Ovis aries: one gene and its partner. Each later gene encodes a partner of the first gene's protein in a complex. Links are inferred from orthologs where the notes say so. Each region holds a gene or a part of one and is shown in the gene's direction. Other genes may lie near its edges. The genes, in order: ARF1 and AP3B1.

What was found.
Region 2: the proteins of ARF1 (region 1) and AP3B1 are in contact, whole or in part, in a cryo-EM structure (PDB 9C5B), measured with the Homo sapiens proteins. The link is inferred for Ovis aries from reciprocal best matches to the Homo sapiens genes ARF1 and AP3B1. Residues at the interface, in NP_001019397.1 of Homo sapiens: Glu17, Arg19, Tyr35, Ile46, Pro47, Thr48, Ile49, Gly50, Phe51, Asn52, Val53, Glu54, Lys73, Ile74, Leu77, His80, Tyr81, Asn84; in NP_003655.3 of Homo sapiens: Glu52, Asn54, Pro81, Val84, Lys85, Val87, Ala88, Asp111, Leu112, Leu114, Leu115, Ile117, Ser118, Thr119, Gln121, Arg122.

Annotation. Positions count from the first base shown.
Region 1 is NC_056058.1:2,768,082-2,776,572, reverse strand, and holds ARF1 (ADP-ribosylation factor 1), read left to right. Parts: upstream 1-4,542; coding exon 4,543-4,690; intron 4,691-4,764; coding exon 4,765-4,875; intron 4,876-4,964; coding exon 4,965-5,089; intron 5,090-5,241; coding exon 5,242-5,403; downstream 5,404-8,491. Other genes in the region: C5H1orf35 (multiple myeloma tumor-associated protein 2), read right to left, coding at 8,306-8,311. UniProt on the Homo sapiens protein: Small GTPase involved in protein trafficking between different compartments. Modulates vesicle budding and uncoating within the Golgi complex. In its GTP-bound form, triggers the recruitment of coatomer proteins to the Golgi membrane.
Region 2 is NC_056060.1:9,381,580-9,391,496, reverse strand, and holds the start of AP3B1 (AP-3 complex subunit beta-1), read left to right. Parts: upstream 1-4,908; 5' UTR 4,909-5,055; coding exon 5,056-5,183; intron 5,184-9,917. UniProt on the Homo sapiens protein: Subunit of non-clathrin- and clathrin-associated adaptor protein complex 3 (AP-3) that plays a role in protein sorting in the late-Golgi/trans-Golgi network (TGN) and/or endosomes.

The DNA of each region.
Region 1 (8,491 bases):
GTGTAGTGGGAGAAACCAGGTGCTGTGTGTAGCGTCTCCTGGAGTTCCTGTGCCGTGTGCTCAGTTGCTTCAGTTGTGTCTGACCCTTTGCCACTCTGTGGACTGTAGCCTGCCAGACTCCTCCATCCGTGGGATTCTCCAGGCAAGAGTATTGCAGTGGGTTGCCCTCCTCCAGGGCATCTCCTTGACCCAGGGATCAAAGCCGCATCTCGCAGGCAGATTCTTTACCGTTGAGCCACCAGGGAAGCCCAGAGTTCTGCTCACCCCCATCTAGGTTCAGCCACCAAAATATATGGCCCACTTGCCCTTTGGGGCTGCAGGAGTTGGGTAAGTTGAAAAACTGTGTGGAGGAAAGGGACCAGATTGATAATTAGGGCTCAGCCGACTGCAGGGCCAAGGCAGGCCAGGGACTGTGAGTGGGCAGACACGCTGGGCTGGGTGGGAGGAAGAGGAGGCCCCTGGCCTGCTGTGGCTGACTGCATCTCCAGGCTGACCTGCGGTGCGGGCTTGCTGCTGGGCCCAGTTCACCTGGAGTGCTCCGTCAGTCCCATGTAGGGGCTGGGGAAGCATAGAAAACAGTTTCGCTCCTCAGTGCCCAGGTTTCTGTGTCAGTTTGTATGAGCTTAATGCTAAAACAAATGGAGACAGCGGTCTTCCAGCCTGCTTCACAGGGATCGCCCTTTCTCGCCTTACTGTTCTGAGTAGGGTGCTAATCCGGTCTCTCAGTATGTCAGCTTTGGACGCTTGAGACCACAAGTTCTGTCCTTGGCTTCCCAGTACCCAGGAGTGCCAGTCAAAGTGTCATGACTAAATAAATGTTGTTCACTGCTGAGTCAAGTGGTGACTGGCTTATTATGTTTTCCTGCAGGAAATCTCAAAATGACTTCATTTTCATCCTTGGGTTTTTTCCTGGGTGTTTGTCATTATTTTTTCCCAATTCCCTTATAATTGCCACGCCCCGTGTTTAAACCACATAGGAAACGTGTTCCTCTTTTCCTGGAGCTCTCCTCCTCCGCGGGGCTGCTGCTCAGGCCTTCCTCTGCCTCCCTCTGTCACCTTGGGCGGCACCGGGGAGTGTTGCCCTTGCCTGTGGCAGCCTGCAGACGAGGCGCATGTGAGACTTGGCACTGGTGACCTCTCTGTCCTGCCCTTTCACTGACCCCATAGTTTGGTTGACACAGAACTGCAGATGGGAAGCAGTGTTTGTGTCTTTCTTTGCAGGGGACAGGTTTAGGTTCGCCCCGTAATTGAGGGAAACACACAGCCTTCCTCGCTGTGTCCCCCACTAGAGTGTGCGTTTACTGCAGCTGATGAGCCTACGTTGGCACACCATCATTCAGAGCCCATACTTGATCTTGGGGTTCACTCCTGGTACTGTGCGTTCTCTAGGTTTGGACAAATGTATCATGGCATGTATCAACCATTGTAGAATAGTTTCACTGTCTAAAAATGCCCTATCTCTACCTGTTCATCCTCCCTTCCCCCTGACCCCTCAGAACCACTGAAAGGATCTTTTACTCTCTCCACAGTTGCCTTTTCCAGAATGTCACGTAGTTGGAATCATACACTGTATAGTATTCTTAAATGGGCTTCTTTCACTCAATGCACATTTATACTATAATAATAATGTACACTTATCTGTATATTAGCACTTTTCTTTTAGTGTTGAATGACATCCTGTTGTTCGGATTTACCAAACAGTTTATCCATTCACCTACGGAAAGACATCATGGTTGCTTCCAGGTTGTGGCAATCATGAATAAGGCTTGTGAACATCAGTGTGCAGGTGTCTGTGTGGTTGCTCGTTTGCAGCCACTTTGGGAACATGAGGGCTGAGTTTCATGTTCAGAGTCTTTTGTAAGAAACCTCCAAACATTTTTCAGAATGGCTGCTCTTTCTTTCATGGGATCATGTCTTTGGTGTTGTGTCTGAAAAGTCATCATCATACTCAGGGTAGATGTTGGTCTTCTACGTTGCTCCCGGTCTCCCTGTTCTGAGGCTCGTGCATGTGTGGATTGCTTCACGCTGGTTGTGAGCTCTGCCGTGTCTGTCCTGACGCCCTGTTCTTGTCTGATGGGCTCCACGTCTCCACCACGTTGGTGCTAGGGCGGTGTGTGGCTTGGGGGTTCTGTTTGTTTACTTTTCTTTTTAAATTCTCTTCTGTCTTGTTTCTCTCCAAATTCTTTGTTTCAGTCAGTTCCACTGGGGGCTTCTTACAGGGAGATAGGGGCATGGATGTTTGGGGGCCTCCAGGTGTAAGAGTTCAGTCCCGGCCTTGAGGCCTCTATGTCTTGTGTGCAGGTCTGTGGCGGCAGGGTGCCTCCCTGTTGATCTCGCCATATTCCTCTGTTTCCAGAACAGTGCACCCTGTGCCCTCCTCTGACTGGAGAGCAGAGTGAGGACCCCTGATTCAGTTGCTCCAAAAAGGTCGCCTGGCTCTCCTGCAGGGCTGAGGATGATGCTTGGCCAGGGCCAGACCCCACCAGAATTGCACCTGCTCTCGGTCCTTTACTTCTTTATTGGTAGTGACTTCAGAAATAAGCTGAGATAAATACGCGTTCAGTTCATTCTGTTTTCCATAATTTATCATCCTCTATATTTAGGAAAAGTGGTTGTCTGCCGAAAAGGAAATACCATAGTAAAGATCTTTTTTAAATGTTAATTTTATAAATAGGTAATATTATTCAAAACCAAAAAGAACTTTAAAATGTTGAAAGAGCACTGAGGCCTGCTAGAAGGGGCTCCGCTGGATGCCCCTAAGGCCATTGGCGCATCTAGGTCACAGTGGGGCGGCGGTCTGACCCACTGAGCAAACTGGGAATTCCCAAGCTCACACCGTGTCAGTGTATGGAGGAGAGAGTGCTGGTTCCTTGGGTAGAAGGCTAACTAACGCTGGAAGGAATGACTGTAGAAAACCACCGTTAGAACAGTCCTGATGGCAGTAATTCAGCCAGGAAATGTCAGCATGCTGAAACTAGAGGGTGGAAGCTGGATGAGAAGCGGAACGTGTACATAGTCCCCAGATGCTCCCTGATGGCTAAGGCAGAAAGGGGCTTACGATGGAGACCTGGCAGCTCCACGTGAGCCTGTCATCAGAGTTGACGTGGGGTGGTGGGGGTCTGGGGCACAACCCCTACGTAGAATGGAGGGGGGAGTGCCTGTGGCAGGCCCGTATCTGCGTCCTCCGTGGAACTGGCCTCTTACCCAAGCAGTATCCATCCAAAGTTCAAACACTGGGAAGCTCATAGTTACTTCTGGGAGGTTAGGTATGCAGGGCAAGACTCCTTCCCAACCTCAACAATAGCCTCCACCAGCACCCTCCCAGTGATGAGGTGTGAGCATCTCCCATCAGCTTAGAACAAGCTCTCTGTGGTTGATTTGGTTTTCTGTCAACACTCGCACAGAATCTGCCCAGTTGAAGGCTGCTCAGCCCTCCACAGCTTGACTTCACCTTAGGTGCTAAGTCCAGATTTCCTAAGCATTTGAGAAAGTGACTGTTTTTTTCCTAAAGCCCTGTTTGGAAATAAAATAGTTGAAGGATGAATATACTGAGTGTGGAGAGGCCATATGTGGGTCTTCCAGTACAAGAGATCCCCACCTCTGTGATCACTCACCCCTTCCTGCAGGTCTGGGTGTCGGGGCCTGGGCTCGGACCTGGGGTCCAGTCAGCTCAGTGGCTGCTCCCAGTCTGCTCTGCTGAGTGAGGCGAGCTGGCGGGGGGTGGGGGGCGGTGCAGACACAGCGCTCGTGCGCGTCTGCACACTCGTGCGCTTCTGCACACTCGTGGCTGCACCGCGCAGGCCACCTCTCCGACCAGCGCTGACCACAGGTCTTGGCAAGGTGCTCCCTAACGTGGCCATGCTGTGGGCTCACCCTTGGGCTGAATACTCTTGGACTGAGCAGCAGGTGTGCTGCTCTTGAGCCCTGGGTGTTCTCACTCAGCCAGTCCTGCCTGCAGGGTGTGCTGAGCTCTCAGCATGTTGGGAAGGGCTGGCTCCTGGTCTTGGCCAGGGCCCTCCTAGGTTCTCAGGTGTTAGTTGTCTTACCATTGAACTCTGCTTCATCGAGACTTGGGGCAGTTGGGAGACATGGTAGGGCCTTGAAGTGGTTGTTTCTGGCCCCTTGAAGAACTGTGCATTAGGTTATGGAGAGCCTAGCGTCCATTTGAAAGCCACACTACTGCACCCCAGAGTGGCGGGTTGGAGGACTTAGAGGTAAGGTGCCCTCAGGCCTTGGCTATAAGTTCCTCAGATGATGGAGCAGCCGCTTCACATTCCAGTCAGCCTTGTTCTAAGAGTCCCATATGCTGCCTTGTTAGGCTGATTTAGAGGCTCAAGAGGTAGGTGGGCAGGACCGTTTTCTTTTGGATAGGAACCAGAATTTCATCAGCTTGTGAGAGGAGCAGCTGCCTCAGCCTGGCTCTGGGTGAGCGGTCTCTGAGCTGCTCCTGCTTGCCTGGCCCTGGGCAGCACAGAAAAAGACCCCAGGACTCCTTGTTCCTGCAGGTTTCTCTGGCCAGTGTTGCCCCCACCGGTGTGCAGCATGGGGAATATCTTTGCAAACCTCTTCAAGGGCCTTTTTGGCAAAAAAGAAATGCGCATTCTCATGGTGGGCCTAGATGCTGCGGGAAAGACCACCATCCTGTACAAACTGAAGCTGGGTGAAATTGTGACCACCATTCCCACTATTGGTGAGGACGCTGGGCCTTGGGAGGCTGGGAGGTGGTGGTGGCCCTGGGGATAGGCTCACCCGGCTCTCTTCCAGGCTTCAACGTGGAGACCGTGGAGTACAAGAACATTAGCTTCACTGTGTGGGACGTGGGCGGCCAGGACAAGATCCGGCCTCTGTGGCGCCACTACTTTCAAAACACACAAGGTATGAGTGAGCTGCCCCGTTACACGCCTCAGGAGTGGGGCTCGGGGTGTCCCGGGTGCCTGCAGTCACGCTTACTGTCCCCTCTGCAGGCCTCATCTTTGTGGTTGACAGCAATGACAGAGAGCGTGTGAATGAGGCCCGCGAGGAGCTCATGAGGATGTTGGCAGAAGACGAGCTCAGGGACGCCGTTCTGCTCGTGTTTGCTAACAAACAGGTACGTGTGACTGAACACCCTGTGTGCCAGTGGGGGTGCACGTCAGGCAGCCAGCCTCTCAGGGCTGGAGGTCTGACTGGGGGGCCACAGGTCAGGTAGAAAGGGTTCCATGCACTCCCCCTGACCCACGCCTGCTGTGCTGCCACCCCCAGGACCTCCCTAATGCCATGAACGCGGCCGAGATCACGGACAAGCTGGGCCTACACTCTCTGCGCCACAGGAACTGGTACATACAGGCTACCTGCGCCACCAGCGGGGACGGGCTTTACGAGGGACTGGACTGGCTGTCCAATCAGCTCCGGAACCAGAAATGAGCTGTCATCCTCTCTCCTCCCCTCTCACTCCCTCCTTCTACCCTCGCTTTACTCTCATGTGGCAAACGTGCCCCTGTGGTGTGAGTGCCAGAAGCTGTCTCCATGGTCGGTCACAGTGTGCTTCACCATGCTGTAAATGTGCAGACGCAGCCTGCAACTGGGTTTTTATTTAATGTAAATAGTTTTTGTTTCCAATGAGGCAGTTTCTGGTACTCCTATGCAATATTACTCAGCTTTTTTTATTGTAAAAAGAAAATCAACCCACTGTTTAGTACTCAGAAGGGATTTTAGGCACACGGGTCATCCAGGAGTTGTGTGTCAGACGAGCCCAATACTCCTCCTCTGGGCTTTAGGTCTGTGTTGAGATCCATTTTGGTGGTTGGTTTTTAACCCAAACTCAGTGCATTTTTTAAAATAGTTACAAATACAAAATAAGGAGAACACTTGAACACACAGAAGGGAGAAATGTGCCTAATGTAGGTTCTGCGGTGACGGCCTGAGTCCAGTCCACCGGTGGTCTGTTTCCCGCTGGGAACATGAAGCGGGGCAGAACCAGCCGTGATACCCATTCTGCATGGTCACAGTAGGGTCCCTGTGATTCGCTCTGTCTCGGGTCCTCCCACCCCCCGTAGCGTTTGTGCTTGTATTTGTGCATACGTGGCCGCCCAGGAGATGGGGTGGAGGCTGCAGCCGCCGTTCTCAGACCCCTTGGAAGAACCCCGGCCTTTTCTCGGGTCAGCATGGGCACTTTGGTTGGAACGCCCTGGCTGGAGCGGGAGGCCTGCAGCCCCCCTGCTTGCCTGCTCCGGGCTCTCTGGGGTCTCACCAGCAGGAGTGCGGGTGGTCATCCTTGAGCCCCAGCCCCTCAGAGCCCCTGTCTACATGTGCTTTCACTCCCTCAGCCTGCAAGGGTCAGATTTGCCATTGAAAATGATAACCTCTACTTTTTTCTTTTGTATTTTGATAAACACTGAAGAAGCTGGAGCTGTTAAACTTTATCTTGGGGAAAACCTCAGAGCTGGTTTATTTGGTGTCGTGGAACCTCTTACTGCTTTCAATACACAATTAGTAATCAACTGTTTTGTATACTTGTTTTCAGTTTTCATTTCGACAAACAAGCACTGTAATTACAGCTATTAGAATAAAATCTCTTAACTATTTCATGGCTCTCTTGTGTTTGGGTGCCCCTGACAGCCTGCCCTCTGGGAGCTGGGCAAGGACAGCCTCTTCTTGCTCACTTAGTGAGGGCCACATGGCTCTGCCTTGCCCCATTCTCGCTCTGCTCACCCCTTCCCTGCCCATGCCCCCACCTTCACTTTGCCATGGTCCAATGTGAGCATGTTCCAGTGCCCTGGTAGTAACCACCTCGTTGGTCTCATTGCTGGCAGTCCAGCCCCCTGGTCCCAGGCTTTGCAGTGCCCAGTCATGAGAGGAACAGCAGGGTCACCATATAGGGTGTGCCCCAGGGGCCAGGGCCAAGCTTGGTATGGAAGAGACCCCCCACACACACACCCTTCCTAACATCCACTGTCTCTGGTACCCCCAGGCCAAACAGCTTGTCCTCTGGAGGGGCAGGACAGTCTCCAGTGTTGCTGCCTCAGTAGTTGACACAGGCCTGGCTGGGTGATCTGTGTCTGTGCCATAGACCCCCCTCCCACTTTTGCGGGGGTCGCCCCTCTGACCTGGAGCCCTTCTTGGGACCCTTGTTTTCCCCACTGGGCAGCCTTTGGTAGGCCAGAGTCCAGGTGGCCTTCCCCCAGGAGGCAGGCTCCACCCTAGTCACAGGTTGATAACCAGTGCCGAGTGCCTTTAAGACAGAGTTGCTTTCAGTTCTCATTTCTTTTAAAATCAGCAGCAAAACAAGAACCTAGGTAATGAATCCAGTCTAGGTTTTGTCTTTATTCCAGTGTGGTTTGTAGGATGTTTTCTTTTTTTCTATGGATGGCAATATTGTATGTGTGCCTTCAGCCTTGGAGGTGGCTGGGTGGAGGGACCCAGGGCCTTTACAGCAGGCAGGGGGGCAGGGGTGGGTACCTGTGGGACAGTGGTTAGAAGATCTTTGGTGGCCGAGGAAGACAGGGTGGCTGCAGGTACAAGTCTCCTTCCCCAGGATCTAGATGCCCAGCCCGACTGCCCCCTTCTAGCATGGTCACCTGCTTGCAGCTGAGCACCTTTTGGTCCCTCCGCCCTCCCTGCTGACCACACATAGTCCAGGGCTCTTGGTACACTTGAAGTAGATGCAGGGGCCAGGCCAACAGGGGACCCCAGGATGCTGACCACCAAAAGGACAGTGCCCCTCAGTGTGACTGCAGACGGCCTTGCTGGAACTCCCAAGATTCACTGCATTTTCACACGTCACTTTCTGTTGTGACACAACAGCAACTTTCCTGTTAGTATAAGACACTTTCCCCTTAAAATAAGTTTATTTAAGTACAAAGAGTGAGTCAATACAAAGAAAAATAGAAGTAGCCATACTGGACCACAACTGAGCCTCCAGTATCCTGGCCTGGAGAATTCCATGGACAGAGGAGCCTGGCGGGCTGTAGTCCACGGGGTTGCAAAGAGTTGGACATGACCGAGGGACTTGCAAGCCTCTATGGGAGCCTGGGGTAACCCCCACAGGCCAGTCCTCCAGACCCCTGGGCCTCAGTCGCTGTCGTGCCTGCGCTTCTTGCAGCAAGTTGAAGAGTCAGAGTCATGCCTAATGAGACCGCGAGATGCCTGGGGTGAGGGGCTCGGCCTGCCAAGCACACCCTCATCTCCACCCCCAGGCAGCTGCACCTACTGGGTGGGAGCAGGGGGAGGTGAGGAATCCAGCCTTCTCCCATGCTCCTTTTCTTTCTTTCTCTTCTCTTTCTTGTGCCTCTTCTTTTTCTTCTCTTTCCTGCTCTTCCTGTGGCTTTCAGGACTACAGGGGGGAGTGCACGAGTGCTAGAAGCCTCTGGGGCTTTGGCGGGTCTAGACCACAGTAGCCACTGACCATGTGTGGCCATTTCAACCTCAAGTCACTAAGAATAACTCAGTACCATGTGTGGCCAGCGGCTACCGTGAGCAGCACAGACACGACTATGGCAAAAAGTCTGCAGGA
Region 2 (9,917 bases), on another chromosome or scaffold:
ATTCTTTAGCATCTTTTCAGTGATAAAGTTTCATCTGTTTTTGAAAGGAATATTTATTTTGCATCCTGTACATATGAATCCAGAGAAAAATTACCCAACAAGTATTTTGAGGAATATATAATCATAATACTCACACCATTTAAGGACAATGTAAAAAATTGTAGCTCAATTTCCGATACTAGTCTGCGTGAAAAAATTAAAATATTACCAAATAAAATCAAGCAGTGAATTAAACATAACAGACTCAAGAATAAAGAACTTAAAATCCATAATAAAAGCAAACTACTTAATGTAAAATCAAATAAGTGTGTTCATGTGCAATTCTCAGAAAACAAAATGCAAATGGAACAATAATTTTAAAAGGTACTCAGATTCATTATATGAAAATGAATATGAAGTATAATAAAACAATATTCATACCTATCATATTGATGATGATGAAAACTTTTAAGAAAGTGTTAGTGAGAATGTGAGGAAAGAAGATCTCTCATGCATTGCTGTGGGAATGTAAACTGTTAAAATTATATGCTAGCTGCTCAATCGTGTCCGACTCTTTGTGACCCCATGGTCTGGCCATGGGATTTCCCAGGCAAGAATACTGGAGTGGGTTTCCATTCTCTTCTCCAGGGAATCTTCCCAACGCAGGATTCAAACCTGGGTCTCCTGCATTGCAGGCAGACTCTTTACAGTCTGAGCTACCAAGGATAGCTCTGGTACAATTATATTGGAGAACAACTGAGGATATTCAGTAAAGGTACATACAATGTACAACCAAGACATTCTGTGCCAAGAAATATATGCCAAAGATTCTCTAGGATATGCAATTATCAGTGTCCTCATTTCACGGATAAGTTTCTTTTACTATTAAATGAACTAACATACGTAAGTCATTTCTATGCCTGGTACATATTAAGTGTTTTTTAAATAATTTCATTTATTTATTCATTTTTGGCTGTGCTGGGTCTTTGTTGCTGCACAGGCTTTTCTCTCGTTGTGGCAAATGGGGACTGCTCTCTAGTTGCAGTGCATGGTGTTGGAGATTACGAGTGAAATGACATAAAACAAGACACACACAAAGGACAGACGACATGTACACACTCCGGCTGGAGGAACAGAACAGAACTGCCCAAACTATTTGGGCTTTATTATTATAAAGCCCCCCTAGGCAGAATTCCAGACTGCATGAATAAGCCTTTTCAGTACAGCGCAGGTGCATACATGTTATCATACAGCAAAGGGGAGTGAAATTCCGGCCTTCTGCAGAGTCTGTCCAGAGCCCTTATCACAAGAAGGGAATGTTCCCTTATTTGCAAGGGACCATCAATCTCAAGGCTGTGTCCGTCTCCTTGGCAGAACATCTTGTTTGCAAGCAGCACATCTCCACTTTCCTTATTGTGGCCGCATTAACCCTTCAGCATGGGTTTCTCATTTCAGTGGGGCAGGGGCTCCAGGGTGTGCAGGCTTCAGTCGCTGTGGCATGTGGCTTGGAAGCTGCGACTTGCGGGCTCTGGCGCACAGGATCATTGTGGCCCACGGGTTGGTTTCTCTGCAGCATATGGGATCTACCCAGATTAGAGACTGAACCCGTGTCTCCTGTATTGGCGGGCGGATTCTTTACCACGGAGCCACCAGGGAAGCCCGAAGCCATCTATTAAGCATATACCATCATCATCAACATTATCATCATTATCATCATGAATAATCAGCTGTAGATTAAACTCCATAGATCGATCAATATCATCATTATTGACAACAACACATTTTAAGTGCTTCATTGTCTCATCCCTGGAGGAATATTCAAACATGAATAAAAAACCTGCCACGTTTTGATCAGAATATGAAATACGGAGGGCATTCTTCTCTCTCCACTAGAGGACCTAGAACTGCAGTCATGCTTGTTACCAATGTTAACAGTGTGGCTTTTCTTTTTAAAATTAAACTCTTAATTTTTGTTAAAACTTTATTTCTTAGAAGTTTTAGGTTCACAGCAAAATTGAGAGGAAAGTATAGAGATTTCCCATATATGCCCTGCCCTTATACATGCACTGCTGCTGCTGCTAAGTCACTTCAGTCGTGTCCAACTCTGTGCGACCCCATAGACGGCAGCCCACCAGGCTCCACCATCCCTGGGATTCTCCAGGCAAGAACACTGGAGTGGGTTGCCATTTCCTTCTCCAGTGCATGAAAGTGAAAAGTGAAAGTGAAGTCGCTCAGTTGTGTCTGACTCTTTGCGACCCCATGGACTGCAGCCCACCAGGCTCCTCCATCCATGGGATTTTCCAGGCAGGAGTACTAGAGTGGGGTGCCATGCACAGCCTCCTCATCACCGCCTCTTCATTAGAGTGGTCATTTGTTACAACTGATGAACTTTTACTGACCCATCATTATCACCCAAAGTTCACAGTGTCTATAAGGTTCACCTCTGGTGTTATTCATTCTGTGGGTTTAGAGAAATGTATTCTGATACATATTCATCATCATGGTATACAGCGTATTCTCAATGCCCTAAAAATCCTCTCTTCTCTGCCTATTCATCCCTCCTCTCCCCAAATGAATCCTTGGCACCCACTGATGCTTTTACTGTCTTATAGTTTGGCATTTTCCAGATGCCATATAGTTGGAATCACAGAATATGTAACCTTTTCAGATTGACTTCTTTCACTGGGATGCATGCTCAGTTGGTAAGTTATGTCCAACTCTTTGTACCCTATGGATTGTAACCCGCCAGGCTCCTCTGTCTATAGGTTTTCCCAGACAAGAATACTGGAGTAGGTTGTCATTTCTTTCTCCAGGGGAATCTTCTCGATCCAGGGATTGAACCTGTATCTCCAGCATCTTCTTGTATTGACAGGCGGATTCTTTACCACTGAGCCACCTGGGAAACCCCTCTTTCACTTAGTAATGTGTATTTAAGATTCCTCCACATCTTTTCATGGCTTGATATCTCCTCTCTTTTTAGTGCTGAATAATATTCCACTGTCTGGATGTGCCACATTTTAGTTACACAATTACCCACCGAAGATACATCTTGATTGCTTTCCATTTTGGTGATTATGAATACAGATGCTAGAAACACCTGTGCATGTTTTTGCATGGACATGTTTTCAACTCCTTTGGATAAATATGAAGGAGCACAATTGGTGGATTATATGGTAAAAGTATGTTTAATTTTGTAAGAAACTGCCAAACTATCTTCCAATGTGGCTGTACCATTTTGCATTCCCACCAGCAACAAATGAGAGTTTCTTGTGCTCTATATCCCCACCAGCGTTTGGTGTTGTTAGTGTTGTGGACTTCGGTGATTTTAGTAGTAGTAGGTATGTGCTGTTGTTTAGTCAGTAAGTCGTGTCCTACTCTTTTTTGAGATTCCATGGCCTGTAGCCTGCCAGGCTCCTCTGTCCCTGAGATTTTCCAGGCAAGAATATTGGAATGGGTTGCTATTTCTTTCTCCAGGGGATCTTCCCCACCCAGGGATTGAACCTGGGTCTCCTACATTGTAGGCTTTACTGCTGAGCCACCGGGGAAGATGTGTAGTGATATCTGATTATTGTTTTCACTGTGGCCATTAGAGGATGTGAAGACCACATTCTGATCCTTATACACTTCGGACCCGCCCCACGCACTGGCCCTATGGGTTGTGTTTTACTGTGTGTGTGTGTGTGTGAGCCGCTCAGTTTGACTCTTTGCGACCCCATAGATGGCAGCCCACCAGGCTCCCCCGTCCCTGGGATTCTCTAGGCAAGAACACTGAAGTGGGTTGCCATTTCCTTCTCCAATGCATGAAAGTGAAAAGTGAAAGTGAAGTTGCTCAGTCGTGTCCGACTCTTCGCGACCCCATGAACTGCAGCCTACCAGGCTCCTCCGTCCATGGGATTTTCCAGGCAAAAGTATTGGAGTGGGGTGCCATTGCCTCCTCCCGAGAATACTGGAGTGCATAGGTATTCCCTTCTCCAGGTGAACTTCCGGTCCCAGGGATGGAACCCAGGTCTCGCGTGTTGCAGGGGGATTCTTTACCTTCTGAACCACGAGGGAAGCCCTGTGTTTCACTAGTCCCCTTACAGTTTCTAACTTCCAGGCTCTAGGTTTCGGAGCTTGCCTAAACCGGAAGCAGTGGAAATAGTGCGCAGCATGCTCTGAAATCCACCCGAAATATCAGGTGTGAGGGGGGCAAGTTACTCCTGAAAAAGTTTCTCACGTGCTACTCTGGAGCCAGGCAACTTTCTGCCTGACTCCCCTTAAAACTTTAGTAAGTGCTACCACAAGAAGAACAAAAAGAGGTGCCCAGATAATGGGCTACTTCTGGTGTTCGGGACAGCTCTATTTTTTTGTTTTTAAACGCCAGTAGGAAGCACGCCGTTAGCTCCTTGGAACCAATGGCCCCAGGATTTTCCTTTGAAACTACAATGATCCCATCTTGGCGGTGGCAGATCCCAGAAAGACAGGGTTTTAGAAACTTCCTTAAAACTCAGAGCTCTGCATAAAGATTGCCTGGGGCAGAAGTAACAGCAAGACTCAGCAGGCTGGAGGGAAAGCATTAGAAACCAGCCTAAACAGGAAAAGCAGTCCTAATTAAGTTTAGCAAAGTTGATCTGGTGTGTTAAATGGTGTTTCAGGAGAAATCTGAAAACTTCTGGTTTACAACAAGAATCCAAAAAAAGAGGTGTCCGGCCCGGGGAATCTCCTAAGGGACCAAAATGGATACGTGGGTATCTGTCTCCAAAAAAAACCCCCACCTCTAAAAAGAGCTTAGTCTTTAGCCCGCTGAGGGCCTGCCTAGCGCAGAGGCTGGGTTCGAGCCGCTCGGCTACCTCAAAAGCCCGGAGGCGGGAACTCCAGTCCGGCCCGGGAGTGGCCGGGGGGTGGGCTCTGGCCGCACGCACACTGGGCATGCGCAGGGGGTGGCCCGCCGGGTCGGCTTGGGAGCCGTGACGAGTCCGGAAGCGCCTGCGCGCGCCCCTCTGCACGAGAACTAGTTTTGTTTCCAGTCGCTGGGACCGGAGCCCGTCAGAGAGAACCCCGGGCAGGACCAGCTCGACACCCGGCGACCCCGCGGCGATGTCCAGCAACAGCTTCGCTTACAATGAGCAGTCGGGAGGAGGGGAGGCGACGGAGCTGGGTCAGGAGGCGACCTCAACCATTTCCCCCTCCGGCGCCTTCGGCCTTTTTAGCAGCGATATGAAGAAGTGAGGAGAAAGGTTTGGGGTGTGGGGACGGGACTGAGGGGCTGGGGCTCCCGGGACAGGGGCAGGGTCGCCCTGAGACCGTCCGGGAGCGGAGCGGGCGTTTCCTGCCGCGCTATCGCTTGGGAGTGGTGGGAGTTGTTGGGAGTGTGGGTTGAGTGTGTGGAGGGGTTCTCTAGGAGTTTTCAGACTTTAGTGAAAAAGAACCATTGGGACCGCTTAGGTGCCATCCCCAAAGACCCCGACTGGTCTGGGGCCCAGGAGTCTGAATTTTGAGCAAACACTTCAAGCTAGTTTAAAGTTTGCTTGATGCCACCTGGAGAAATTCTCTCTCTAGGGTGGAAGGATTCAAGTTTGGGGAGCTGAGAGGGAAAGTTAGATTGTGTCTTATGGGAACCTGTTCTGTGACTCTTGAGTGTAGAAGCAAGGAGGTGTTTTAGGCGCTTTATGAATGAACAAGCTGGTTTATTCAGGCACCAGTGTTCCCGGAAAATGTCTTTTGCATTACAGACCAAAAAAGAAAAAACAAAACCCCCCACCAAAAGTATAAGACAACCCCCAAACCAAAAAACAAAGCTAGGAAACAGTAAGAAGCGTATGAGGAGAATATTTAGAGTGTGGGCAAGTGGCACAATTTTGCAAATAATGTGGATTTTAAAAATGAACCCTAAATAATGTATACGTGTGTGTGTTTTTAAAGTTATTACGAGTATTTTAAGTACCACCGAAAAAGGGAAAGAAAACACCCCGCTCATTGTTTTTTGTGTGTGTGGTGAGGGAGAGAGAGTGATTTTAAACTTACAGAATTCTGGTAACTTTGCATTTTTTGGTAATAATTTTTACATTTTTTCTTATTTTTGATCTCTCAGTACTTAGTGAACATAATAGGCTAACACTAGATTTATGCTGAACTTAAGGTAAAGTAGCTATGCTGGTGGCCTTGCGGTGTCAGAAAGATAAATTAAAATTCATTTTATTTAATTAAATAATTTATTTGATTAAAATTTAATGTAATTAAAAAATTATTTTAAAAGGCATTCTGGAAATTGCTAGTAGTTGAAGTTGAGGTTACATTTTGACTGTATTAAGCTAACTGAAACCTGTGTGGAGTGTGTGGAATAGAGTTTTTTGTTTATTTCCTTATTCTCAGGTTAGCAAAGTTTATAAGTAATGTAACTTCAGTAATTTTTCATTTTTCCTTCTATGCATTTAGATGATGGATTATTCCAACAAGAAGCTTGTTGCAGTTCTGTTGTTCTATTAGCAGAAATTTCAACTGTTAAATTAATGTTTAAGTCTGTAGAGTCTGTTTTACATGTGATATGCTTACAGTTGATCTACTTTTATGGATTGTGAACTTCTAAGGTGTTTTCCTCTTAGAGCCTTTCATTTCCTATTTTGTCAGATTTGGGTCTAATATTGAAAAAAATGTGTGGTTTTGACTGTGACCAGTGTTACTGAGGTGACTGAGCATGTTGGAGTTGAAATGAAAATAGCTGACTTTGAGTACTTCTGCACACTACTTTACATTGATTATCTCATTTGGTCCTCCTGACCATTTGGTCTGGCTGAGTGAGTATGACTTACGGAAAATTATTCTGTAACTTTGAGGTGCCACAGAGGATATAGAGCAACCCAAAAATACTTTGATTCCACTTTGCAGATGAGAAAATTGGAGCACAAATGGTTAATTTGCCTAAGATAACAGAACTAGAACACTGAGCTGCCTGAGTTTGAGCTCACAGTCTCATCTCAGAGCCCATTCTCTTGAGTATTTGGATATGCTGCTTGACAACGTTTATTGTACCTTGGTCTTCCCTTGTATTGCAGTTAGTAAAGAATCTGCCTGCAATGTAGGAGACCTGGGTTTGATTCCTGGGTGGGGAAGATCCCCTGGAGAAGGAAATAATTATATCTTATTAGAGAATGCAATCAAATCATTAAAACTTTACTAGTCGTAGAGAGTGTATGACCTTGAGGCTTTCAGGAATTAGAAACATTTTGGCCATTGAATTGCAAACTAGTGCAGTTGTACAGAAACAGGGACCTGTGTTCTGGAAGTGGTCACTTAACCTCTCTTGAGCTTACATTCTCTCATTTATAAAAATGTGATATTTCTTGCCTTTTTAAAAAACCCAAATGACAAAATTTATGTAAAAAACTTCAAGCTTACCCTAATCCTGTACTCTGATTTTTTTAATCAAAGTATAATTGACATCAACATGTTAATTTCAGATATACACCATAATGTTCAGTAGATTTTTTTATGTATTGAGAAATTATCACCACAGCAAGTCTGGTTAACATCTGTCACCATACTTACAGTTTGGTTCCCCCCTCCCCTCGAATGAGGACTTTGAAGATTCGCTTTTAGTGATTTTCAAATATGTAATACAATATTATTAACTGTAGTTACCATGGTGTACATTATATCCTCCTGACTTATTTGCTTTATAGCTGGAACTTTGTGCCTTGGACTTTCTTCACCCATTTCTCCCACAACCTCTGGTCTCATTTTTGATGATTTACTTTGAATGATTTTGAGTTTGCAAAAAAGTTGCAAGAATAATAGAGAACTACTCTTGATGTAGGCTCAGTTTTTAAAAAATCACTACATTGCTTTATTTCTCTTTCTTTCTCCATCCACACACAGACATACACACATTCGTATTATCTCTTATCCATTGGAGAATAGGTTGAGTAAGGCCGGACCCCGGGGGCCATGATGGGCCGCCCCTCCTCTCCCTGCCACCGGCAGGGGAAGTCCCTAATGGAAGGAGCCTCCCAGATCCCTGGGACCAATGACAGCACACTTCACCAGCTAAAGCCGCCCCACCCCAGCCACATAGAAGGACCTGTCAGCCCGCGATGCCTCGGCCTGGCGACCTGTCCGAATCCCGGTCCATCTAGCCTGACCATCCCTCGCAACCAACGTATAAAAACCACCCCCAACATGGTCTGGGCGCGGACTTCCTCGACGTGCCTCGTTGGGGTCCGGGAACCCCGCCCGGGAGCGCTTCACCATTAAAAAGCCTGTTAGACACTCTTTTGGTGTCCTGGTCTTTTACCTAACAGGTTGTATACACCATGTCCCTTTATCCTCATACCTTAGCATGTATTTTTTAAGAACAAGGATATTCTCATTCACAACTGCAGCACTGTTAGGGTTAGGAAGTTTATCATTATTACAATTTACAGTCTATAATCCTGTGTTGTCATTTGTCCCAATAAATACTTCTAATTTTTTTTAGCATTTTTTTTCTCTAGTGTAGAATCCAGTCCAAGATTATATAGTTTACTTAGTTCTCATATCTCTTTAATCTCCTTTAAACTGGAATAGTTACTTAGCCTTTGTCTTTCACTGCCTTGATATTTTTGAAGAACACAAGCCAATTACTTTATAGCATGTTAATCAGTTTGCCTTTGCTGGTGTTTCCTCACGTTTTGACTCTTGTTAAATATCCCAGGCTGCATTGCTACCTTCTTAGACTTTTGTGTCAGGAGGCATAGGGTGCCCACCTTTATAATGTTAATTTTCCCCGTTATAGGATTTTTTTCTAGTTACCTGTGGGGGGACACTTTGAGATCATACAGGTGTTCTGCTCTTCATTTGATCCACCATCCCCTGTACTTAGCCACTGTGTGTGAATCTCCTGCACCAGTCTTTACTACAATGTCTGCAGTGGTGATGTTTTTACTGGAGGATAATTGCTTTACAGTTTTGAGGTGGTCCCTGCCACACATCAGCACGAATCAGTCATAATTATATATGTGTGTGTGTGTGTTTGTATTCCCTCCCTCTGGAGCCTCCCCCTCTCAACCCCCAGTTCTATCCCTCTAAGTCATCACAGAGCACCAGGCTGGGCTCCCTTTGTTATATAGCAGCTTCCTGACAGTTGTTAACTTATTTTACAAATGATAGTATATATAAATGTCAATGCTACTACTTTCTCAATTTCTCCTAGCCTCTCTTTCCAGCAGTGTCCAGAAGTCTGTTCTCTACCTCTGTGTCTCCATGTCTTCTCTGTAAATAGGTTCACTGTTTTCCTAGATTCCATATATATGTGTTGAAAGAAAAGTGAAGGTGTTAGTTGCTCAGTCATATTCGACTCTTTGCAACCCTGTGGACTGTAGTCTGCCAGGCTCTTCTATCCATGGGATTCTCCAGGTAAGAATACTGGAGTGGGTTGCCATTCCTTTCTCCAGGGGATCTTCCTGATCCAGGGATTGAACCTAGGTCTCCTGCATTGCAGGCAGATTCTTTACCGACTGAGCCACTAGGTGTTAATACATGTTTGTTTTCCTCTTTTTGACTTATTTCATTCAGTATAACAGATTCTAGGTTCATCCACCTCACTACAACTGACTCAAATTTGTTTCTTTTTATGGCTGAATAATATTCCTATATATAAATATAATACACACACATCCCACCCCCCCACCCCCAACCCCACCCCCCGGCCACCCCTACAACTTCTGTATTGACATCTAGGTTGCTTCCATGTCCTGGCTGTGATAAATAGTGCTGCAGTGAACATCGGGGTACATGTCCCTTTTAGAATTGTGATTTTCTCAGGGTGTATGCCCACTAGTGGGATTGCTGGGTCATATGGTAGTTTTATTCCTCGTTTGTTAAGGAGTCCGTGCTGTTCTCCATATTGGCTGTACCAGTTTACATTCCTGCTCCCAGTGCAGTAGAGTCCCCTTTTCTCCACATTCTCTCCAACATTTATTATT